Oryctolagus cuniculus: one gene and its partner. The protein of the gene in region 1 interacts with the protein of each later gene in a biochemical or structural test. Links are inferred from orthologs where the notes say so. Each region holds a gene or a part of one and is shown on either strand. Other genes may lie near its edges.

Region 1 (4,295 bases):
TCACATACCTTGGGCCCTTATTTAGTGTGGTCAAAGTGATGGTTAAATACTGAACACATTCCTCCTCATTGACAAATGCCACCTGTTCCCTCCCAAATACACCTGTGGCTTCCCCAGCCCCTACACCCAGGATCCTTTGTCCCAATTTCCTCACAGCCAAGTGGGAAGGCCTGGCCGGCAGGGGGTTCTCCAGGACCTTCCCAGGGTAGACATAACCCCCCATCCTTGGACATAACCATGCTCCTCTTCTGCAAAGGAGCTGTATCATGTAATTATGTTACATTACTTATGCTGAAACAAGAACCAAAAGAAATACAGAAACCTGAAAAAAAGAACAAATAAATAAAAGGGCATTTATGAGAGAGATAAAACCACAGGTTGTATCTTTTTGGAGAGACACCAATGCCAAAATTCTTGTGTTCCGACTGCCTGGGCTGGGACCCCAGCACTGCCATGTGCCAGTTGTATGGTTTGGCTATGCATCAAAATGCCTCATCTACAAAATCCAGATAATAAGATCACCTACTAAACAGGGTTGTTTGGAACATTCAATATGGTCACATTAGTAAAATACTTAGAATAGTGCCTGATACAGTGTATGTAATGTGTGTATTTCTCCACAAACAGTTGATTTGATTCTGTCCCAAGTCTGTTCAATAATTTAAAAATTAGGAGTTTCACAACAGAAAAAAAAAAATTGAGACTCTGTGAAACACTTATATGTTAGACATTGTTTAATCACCCTGCACTAGCCACATCTGGGATCCAGGTTTGACACTGCGCTGTGAATTTCCGGAAGCAAACACACTGGAATGTGTTCCCACATTTGGGTAAATCCCTTACTAATCAAAAACGTCACGGGTTCACAGGAAACTTGGGTTATATGTTTCTCAGTTTAACCCTGCAATAGCTTTTGACCACACCCTAGCAAATAAATTTTATTTTGTGGTGCTAAGACTTGAGGATTGTAAACATAAAAACAGGCCTTGCAGTGACTCAGCCTAGGAGCCAGATCCTACCTGCTGGATACTCCAGCATCCATCTTTAGTAAATACCCATGGTGGACAGGAAATTGTTACACCAAGCAGCCAGCTGGATCAAACTCACTTCTAGTTAAGGAAAAGGCTCCACCTCCCAAGCTCAAGCATAATTTAAACAGGCTGAAGGAGACACAAAACTGTCCATTGTAGTTTCTGTTAGATATGCAGGGCAGGAAACTGTCAACAGTTTCCTTGCCATTCCTTTTGGTTGATAGCTAACCCTCTGAGCATTCTTCTATACAATCCTAACCAGCTCACAAGCTTATCTTCACCCATCCTCTTTAAAAGCAGCTGCTCCTCTAAAACCATGAGAAAACCTCAAGCCTTGCATAGTAAGAAAACTAAAGCTGCAATACAATCATTCAAATGGTGTACACAAAAAAGAGTGTCTTGTGGCTGGGTGATGGTGACACAAGCAAAACAACGCGAATGTATTTAATGCCACGAAAAGTGCACTTAAAAACAGCTAAGATGGGAAATTGTAGGTGGTGTACATTTTACAATAAAAACATACTAAAAAAAAGCTTAAAAAAAAAACAAACCCTGGAACAGCTAAAGGTAAATGAACTTTAGAACTATAAGGAACACCCACTAAGTCATTGGAAACTTCCAAGGAGCAGGGTTCCCCACCACTACCTATATAAGTGAATCAGCAAAACCAAATGAGCCCTACACAGTCCTTAGCACCACGGTTCATAAATCTCTCGGAAAAGACAGGCCCTCCTCAAAGTCTTCATAAGGCATACTTTTTTTTATCTGGATCGTGAGTTGTACTAGATCTTGAGAAGACAGGCTGGGAGCATATATAATGAAAGGCCCCCCAGAAAAACACTTACAGGCTGCCTACAAACTCAGGCTGAAAGGCTTTGTAATGCACTTGCACGCACACTTGTCCGCACGCCTCCAAAGTTAACTCTGAAAGAGCTGCTTATTCAAGTGGGCAGTGGATCAATGCGGCGTCTGTTAACGGCTCAAAACTGTAGACTCCTCTCCTGGACATTTCCAGGGCACCATCATTATCTAATCCATCTAACATATCTCGCAGTGCTCTGGGTTCCTGCTCCCAGAGGCCCTGGGAGGCCCACAAAGGGTTATCTAAAGTTAGCGGTCGCCCAATAAAGCGAAGCTAACTCCCCATTCTGGGGACTAGACCCAGGGGATGATCAAACGGGGAAACTCCTGGTGTCCTTAAAAATCGACTTGCGCTTAGCGCTTCATGGAGGAAGTAAAGAAAGCACTATGACGAGATTAGGAGAAGCATTCACAGGTGTCGCGGTAGCTCTGCACCAAGGCTCCCGGCATCACACAATCTCACCCAACGCTGGGAGGACGGCACGCCTGCATCTGAGACCCGAGTGCCCTGAGAACAGGCTCTGAGCACACGCCCCACTGCCAGCCAGCAGTTCACCCCAGCCCAGCGTCCCCAGGGCCGCAGAAGTTCGGGACCTGGCACTTCCTGGTCCGTCTAGGATGCTGGTGCCACCGCGCCCCTATCCCTGTCATGCCGCGGGGCTTGCTAACCCAAGCGGCGCTGGACGCCCAGGGGGGGGCCCGTGGCTGCGCGAGTCGGGGTGCACCCTGCAGGGCACGCCCCCTGCCTCCGCCCGCAGGCAGCCCAGGTTGTCAGCACCGGATCTCGCGGCGTCCGCGGGAGGCCGGGGGCTGCTCGGCAGTCCACCGCCCACGCGGCGCTGAGGTCCCGTCCAAGCCGGGCGAGGAGCGGCCTGGCTGCGCGGGCCAGCGGGAGGAGGGACGGAGGGCCAGGGCAGCGGCAAGCCAGCTCCGGTGGGAGCCCCGCGAGCCGCTGCGTCCGCGCGCGGCGCCTACCTGCAGGGCGAGGGGGCCGCGGGCACCTGCGCGCTGGCGGCTGGGAGCTCCCGGGGCTCGGGCGTAGCTGGCACAGCTGGAGGCTCGGGAGCGACGAGGGCGGGCCCGGGGGCGCTCGGCGCGGCGCCGGCGCCCGGAACTCGCGGCGCGGATTCGCCCGGGCTGTGCGGGGGTGGGGCGAAGCGGTGCCGGGCGCCGGCAGGCTGGCGGCCCGGCAGGACAGGCGGGCGGGCTCCGCAGCTGGGCCTCTGCCCCTGGCGTTTGGGTCGCTCGGGGGGCTTTGCCTGTATTCCCCCATCCTCGCGGCTGGCAGCCTCTAAGGGCGGACCGAAAGGCGAGCTTTCTTGCTCGGGGTGCTTTAGCTAAGACGTAGGAGCTCTGTTCATGGCATTTATGAGACTCCTTGCGACTCCCTCGGGTAGGTGTTGTCGCCACTCTACAGGTAAGAAAACAGGCTCGGACCGGCGAAGTAGCCGGCGTCTAGACTCCCAGCAGAGATCCCTGGGGACGGGAATTTGTGTCTTGATGTCTCGATAGCTGGATGTCATTCAGACTTCTTAGCATCAAGGGGGGGGGGGGTGGCGACACCGAGAGCAAGACTTGGAAAATTCCCATTACACCCCTCCTCCCCCGATCGAACTGTCCGAACAGCAATTGTGCTGGTTTTCGTCCCCTGAAAGTGTTAATTAAGGAAAGGAGCACCAGCCGTCCAGTCCCGGCCAAGTGACACAATCTTGCACCCCACCGAAAGGCGCAGCCTTCCCGCGCACCGCTGTGCTCACAGCGTGGGCCGTGTGTGCTCCACCGCCCAGGCTGGCCGGCTTCCATAACGTCTCACTGCACACATGGGGCGGCATAAAACTGAAAAGGCGGTGTTCAGTCCAAGGGAGACGAGGGGCGTGAAATTCCAGTCTGCAACTCCGTTTTCCTGTAACCTGCACTTGGCTCGCCCCTTCCCCCCGCCCCACTACATTTTTCTCTCCTGAGCACATCTTTTCCAGTGATGGAAGAGTCACACAGCCTTCACTCCCTCCTTGCCGACAGACCTGATTGATGCCTTTTGAATCCTGGGGTACTGACAGATTTTTACAATTAAGCACAGGGCCCTCTGGCAAGCTTAGCACAAGCATGTTACCGAAAGCCTGAACACTCCCCTTTCTCAAGTTTTATTAGTCACAGATGATGTGATAAGTTTTATGCGAACGAGTAACTGCACTCTTACAGGCTTGTCCCTAGAAGTTATTACACCTTCAGTTCGAGAAGCAGCAGCCCATAAAGCTGCATTCCTCACTCAGAAGTGATTAGTAAAACATTTGGCACTAGCTACAGCCCTGGGTCTTTCTACTGAGGAGCCTTAGAAATAAGGTTATTTAAGTGCCTTCACAATAGCTCAACTTCTGCTTCCCTGGGACAGGAGACTAAATAGGA
Region 2 (4,607 bases), on another chromosome or scaffold:
GGTTTGTTGTTGATATTCTATATCCTTGAGTTGCATTGATAGCTCATTTATTTAGTACCTTTCCAGTTTTTTCATGTAGACATTGATTGCTATGAACTTCCTTCTTAACATACTTTTGCTGTATCTCATATCTCATAGGTTTCAATATAATGTATTGCCATCTTCATTTGTTTCCAGAAATTTTTTGATTTCTGTTTGATTTCTTTTATGACCCACTATTCATTCTGGAGCATGCTGTTCAGTCCTTATGTCTAATTATGTTCTAGAGATAGTTCGTTTCTAGCTTCATTCCATTGTGGTTTGAGAAGGTGCATGGAATGATTTCAATTATTTTGAATTTGCTGAGACTTGCTTTGTGACCTATTTTTTTTTTAAAAGGAAGTTTATTGGTCTTTAAATGGCTCAAATTGCAAATAAACGAATTGGGGAGTGGCATCAGCCTAAGACATGTGATGCATCTTTGTCAGTTGGCTTCATAGCACCTCAGTACCCAGGAGAGGAAAGGTCTCAAAGCAAAGTCACAATGTTAGTGGTTAGGACCCCTGGTTAAATAAGACTGCAATGCGTGAGTACACATAGAGACTGCTGGGCCCGCTGGCCAGTATTACATTGGTAACTTTAATTCTGCACATGGCATAACCTATGAAAAATATGAAATGGAAGATGTACATCTCACACCTTTGAGGAACAAATATTTAACATGACAAGCTGGATATAGTATCTAAAGAGCTGAGTTCCTTAAAAGTCTAGTTTTGTTAGCTTACATATACAACCTGTTACCTGGAATGCCTGAACACATCCTTGACTTGTTCAAATTAGGGCTGACTAAAAAGAAAAAAGAAAAAAAAATCTGTTAAAATCAACTGTCCTAATTCCATCCTGAGCAGGAAAAGAAAAGTGACAGTGGTCTGTGTATTTCTCATCAAAATTATGTATCCAAATAGCATGCCGGAACTCTTCCAGTGGCAACATCACACAATAGTGACACCGCCTGACACACTGTGGTCTCTGTGTGCCACACACGTTTTCTGCACTATGCCTGGGTTTGATTGCTTGATGTTATTTTTAGGAAGATATAGCTACACAGTGCTTAATTAGGAACATAAACAGACTACAGATACTCTCAATAATTTCTATAAAGCCAAACTGTAAACCTCAGGAATACAAGTTTAGAAATAAACAGGTGGCAAGCATGCTTATTCTCCCCAAGTGTTCTAATGCCAAATGCCTTAGTGCTGCTAACGTTTGTCCTATGCCCTAATTCCAGGAGATTAAAAAGTAACACTTATATGCTCAACACTCGTAGAAAGTGATTTCTAGGGACCAGCATCTTAGGAAAAAAAAAAAGAGGCTTCACTCACACACAAGGGGTACTGAATCTTCAAAGTCTCAAATTATCTTACAAGTAGATGCTGGCCCTTCATTTCATACCACCTTACAATTTATTAAAGCAGTCAAGAAGCTCTGGAACCTTATTTAAGAACCAGAGTATGGCACACAGTTTTCATCTGGACAGACTCCGAGTGGACAGTTATTTCTCAAGAACCTTCTATACAAAAGCTGTACTCCATACCAGGCATACAGTGTCTCACAGAATGATGAAACTGGGTATTTTTCGGTTTCTAAATTAAGGCATGTTCCAAAATGTCCGTGTACAAGTTTACACCACTTTTCTAAGTTAATCACCAGTTAATTAATGCAGACTCACAGATGAATTACTCTCAGTTTAACTATATGCAACAACCATGCCAACAACTTTTTCTTCTATATTTTGCATAACAATGGTTAAAAAAAGTGGTACAGTTTAACTATCATGTTCACAATTGTCATTTTTCAAGGCAGTAGACCAAGACATTTTAAAATCATATAAAATTTAAGCTTTATAATAAACACCAGAGGAAGTAGCCTTTCCTCCCATTCCCCACCCCACATCTCACCTCTTTATTTAACAGTTCCAGAAAGACTGCCTGAGAGACACACACGCTACATTCAGGACCGTGATAAATGTAGGCAGTTATGAAATAAGCTGAACTTTGCTTCTTGGAGAAGCCACATTAATTTCTTTTTAAAGTGAATCTGACTTTCAGTGCAGTTCCAATTCATGCTTTTAGTGATACATAACAATTTCCAAAATGTTAAAGTAATTTCAGTCAATTGGGCCTTCAATGGCAATGCTTATAAATTATATTTATTAGTATGGTCAAGGTAAGAAAGGAGTTTGGGCTTTGATTATAAAATGCAGCATCTTTCTCTGATTCTCTTGGCTAAACTTTTCCTCTTCTTTTTCCCATTCTTTTCTTTGCTGTCTTCCATCTTTCTGGCTCGAATTTCCCTCATTAAATCAAAAACTACCTTGTCAACATTAGCCCGCGTTTTAGCAGATGTTTCCACGTAGTTAACATTCCACTGGTCCGCTCGGTTCTTTGCCTCTTCTACGGAAACCTGCCTTTTATCTTCTAAATCTGATTTGTTACCAACCAGCAGAAATGGAACATTCTCATCTTCTTTTACTCTTAGGATCTGCTCCCTGAAGTCGGCTGTGGCTGCAAAGGATTCCATTTCCGTAATAGAGAAGACACAGAGGAAACCCTCCCCGCTCCGGAAGTAGTTGTCTCTGATGGCAGCATAGTCCTCCTGCCCTGCTGTATCTAAGATGTCGATCTGTACTTCCTCCCCATCCAGCACTACTTTCTTGCGATAGCTGTCTGCTTTGGTGGGCTCATAGTCCTCCACAAACTCATCATACATGAACTGCAGAGTCAGAGCAGACTTGCCCACGCCACCACTCCCCACCATGATGACTTTGTGTAAGGCCAAAGAATTCTGACCCTTGGGCTTATTTGCAGCCATCTTGTGTTGCAGAGTTTCCACCAAAGGACTAAGAAGAATCTGCACCTCGAGCCGGTCCGCAGCCCCGCGGGCTTCTGAAGCCGTGGCCGCGCTGGCTCCGGCCGGAGGGGGCTCGGCCCTTGTCTCTTTGTGACCTATTTTGTCTGATATTAAAATCACAACACCAGCTCATTTTGGGTTTTTGTTAGCATAGACTATCTTTTTCATCCTTTTACTTTCATCCTTTTACTTTACTTATATTTGTTGATGAAGTGTGTTTCTTATAAGTAACAGATAGATGGGTCTTGATTTTCAATCCATTCAGTCAGTCTGTATCTTTTAACTGGAGAATTGAGGCCATTTACATTCCAGGTGAGTATTGATAAGTAATGACCTGGCCCTCCACTTTTCCATAAATATTCATATCATTTACTTTGGATTTATTTTGTATTTCTATTGGGGTTTTCTGCTTTCTCATTCTTTCATAATGATGGCTATCTTTCTTTGTTTTTGTGTATGGCACATCCTTAAGCATCTTCTGTAAGGCTAGACGAGTTTCGATGAATTCTTTCAATTTCTGTTTGTTATGGAAGGTCTTTATTTCACTTTTATTCATAAATGCAAGCTTTGTGGGGTACAGTATTCTGGGTTGGCAGGTTTTTTTTCTTTTAAGACTTGGACTATATCTCAGTATTCCCTTCTGGCCTGTAGGGTTCCTGATGAGAAGTCAGCTGTGAGTCTAATTAGCGATACTCTGAAAGTGATTTGTCACTTTTCCCTTGCCCAGTTTAGAATTTTTTCATTATGTTTTGCTGTAGAAAGTTTGACTACAATGTGTATTGGTGAATATCTTTTCTAGTCATGTATGTTAGGAGTTCTATATACTTCCTCTGCTTGAACATTTCTATCTTTCTCCAAATTGGGGAAATTTTCTGTAAATATTTAATTGGTTTTCAATTCCTTTTTCTCTTTCCTCTCCTTCAGGAACTCCTAAGACTGGTATGTTGGGTCATTTGATAGTATCCCATAGATTTCCAACACTGTTTTCTTTCTTTTCTTTCTTTTTTTTTTCTTTGACAGGCAGAGTTAGACAGTGAGAGAGAGAGAGAGAGAGAGAGAGAGAAAGGTCTTCCTTCCATTGGTTCACCCCCCAAATGGCCACTACAGCTGGCGCTGCACTGATCCAAAGCCAGAAGCCAGGTGCTTCCTCCTGGTCTCCCATGCAGGTGCAGGGCCCAAGCACTTGGGCCAACCTCCACTGCCCTCCCGTGCCACAGCAGACAGCTAGACTGGAAGAGGAGTATCCGGGACTAGGACCCAGTGTGCCGGCACCACAGGCAGAGGATTAGCCTAGTGAGCATTGGCGCTGGCCTCCAGCATTGCTTTCTAGTTTCTTCTTCTTCTTCTTTTTTTTTTTTTTTTGTCTGTAAGATTTTCAAAGATTCATCTTCTAATTCAAATATTCTTTCTTCTGCCTCTTCAAGTCTGCTGTAAAGACTTTCCATTGCAGTTTTTATGTGATCCATTTTCTTTCATTTCTAAAATTTCATTTTGATTTCTCTTTATATTCTCAGTTTCTTGGGAGAAGTTTTCATTCATTTCTTGTATGGTTTTCTTTAGCTCATAGATTTGCTTCTGATTTTTTTGAGTAATTCTATGATTAATTTTCTAAATTACTCTTCTATCATTTCCTCAATCTTCTCATCTTAATATTCTAATATTTAAATGTTGTTATGTTCCTCTGGGGGTCATGGTGACTTCCTTATTCTTGTTTCTTA

Evidence for each region.
Region 2: the proteins of PLD1 (region 1) and ras-related protein Ral-A-like form a complex in vitro, tested with the Homo sapiens proteins (2 studies listed by BioGRID). The link is inferred for Oryctolagus cuniculus from reciprocal best matches to the Homo sapiens genes PLD1 and RALA.

What each region holds. Positions count from the first base shown.
Region 1 is NC_091435.1:108,448,276-108,452,570, reverse strand, and holds the start of PLD1 (phospholipase D1), read right to left. Parts: upstream 3,008-4,295; 5' UTR 2,868-3,007; intron 1-2,867. UniProt on the Homo sapiens protein: Function as phospholipase selective for phosphatidylcholine. Implicated as a critical step in numerous cellular pathways, including signal transduction, membrane trafficking, and the regulation of mitosis.
Region 2 is NC_091443.1:114,067,722-114,072,328, reverse strand, and holds ras-related protein Ral-A-like, read right to left. Parts: upstream 2,989-4,607; 5' UTR 2,851-2,988; coding exon 2,230-2,850; 3' UTR 364-2,229; downstream 1-363. UniProt on the Homo sapiens protein: Multifunctional GTPase involved in a variety of cellular processes including gene expression, cell migration, cell proliferation, oncogenic transformation and membrane trafficking.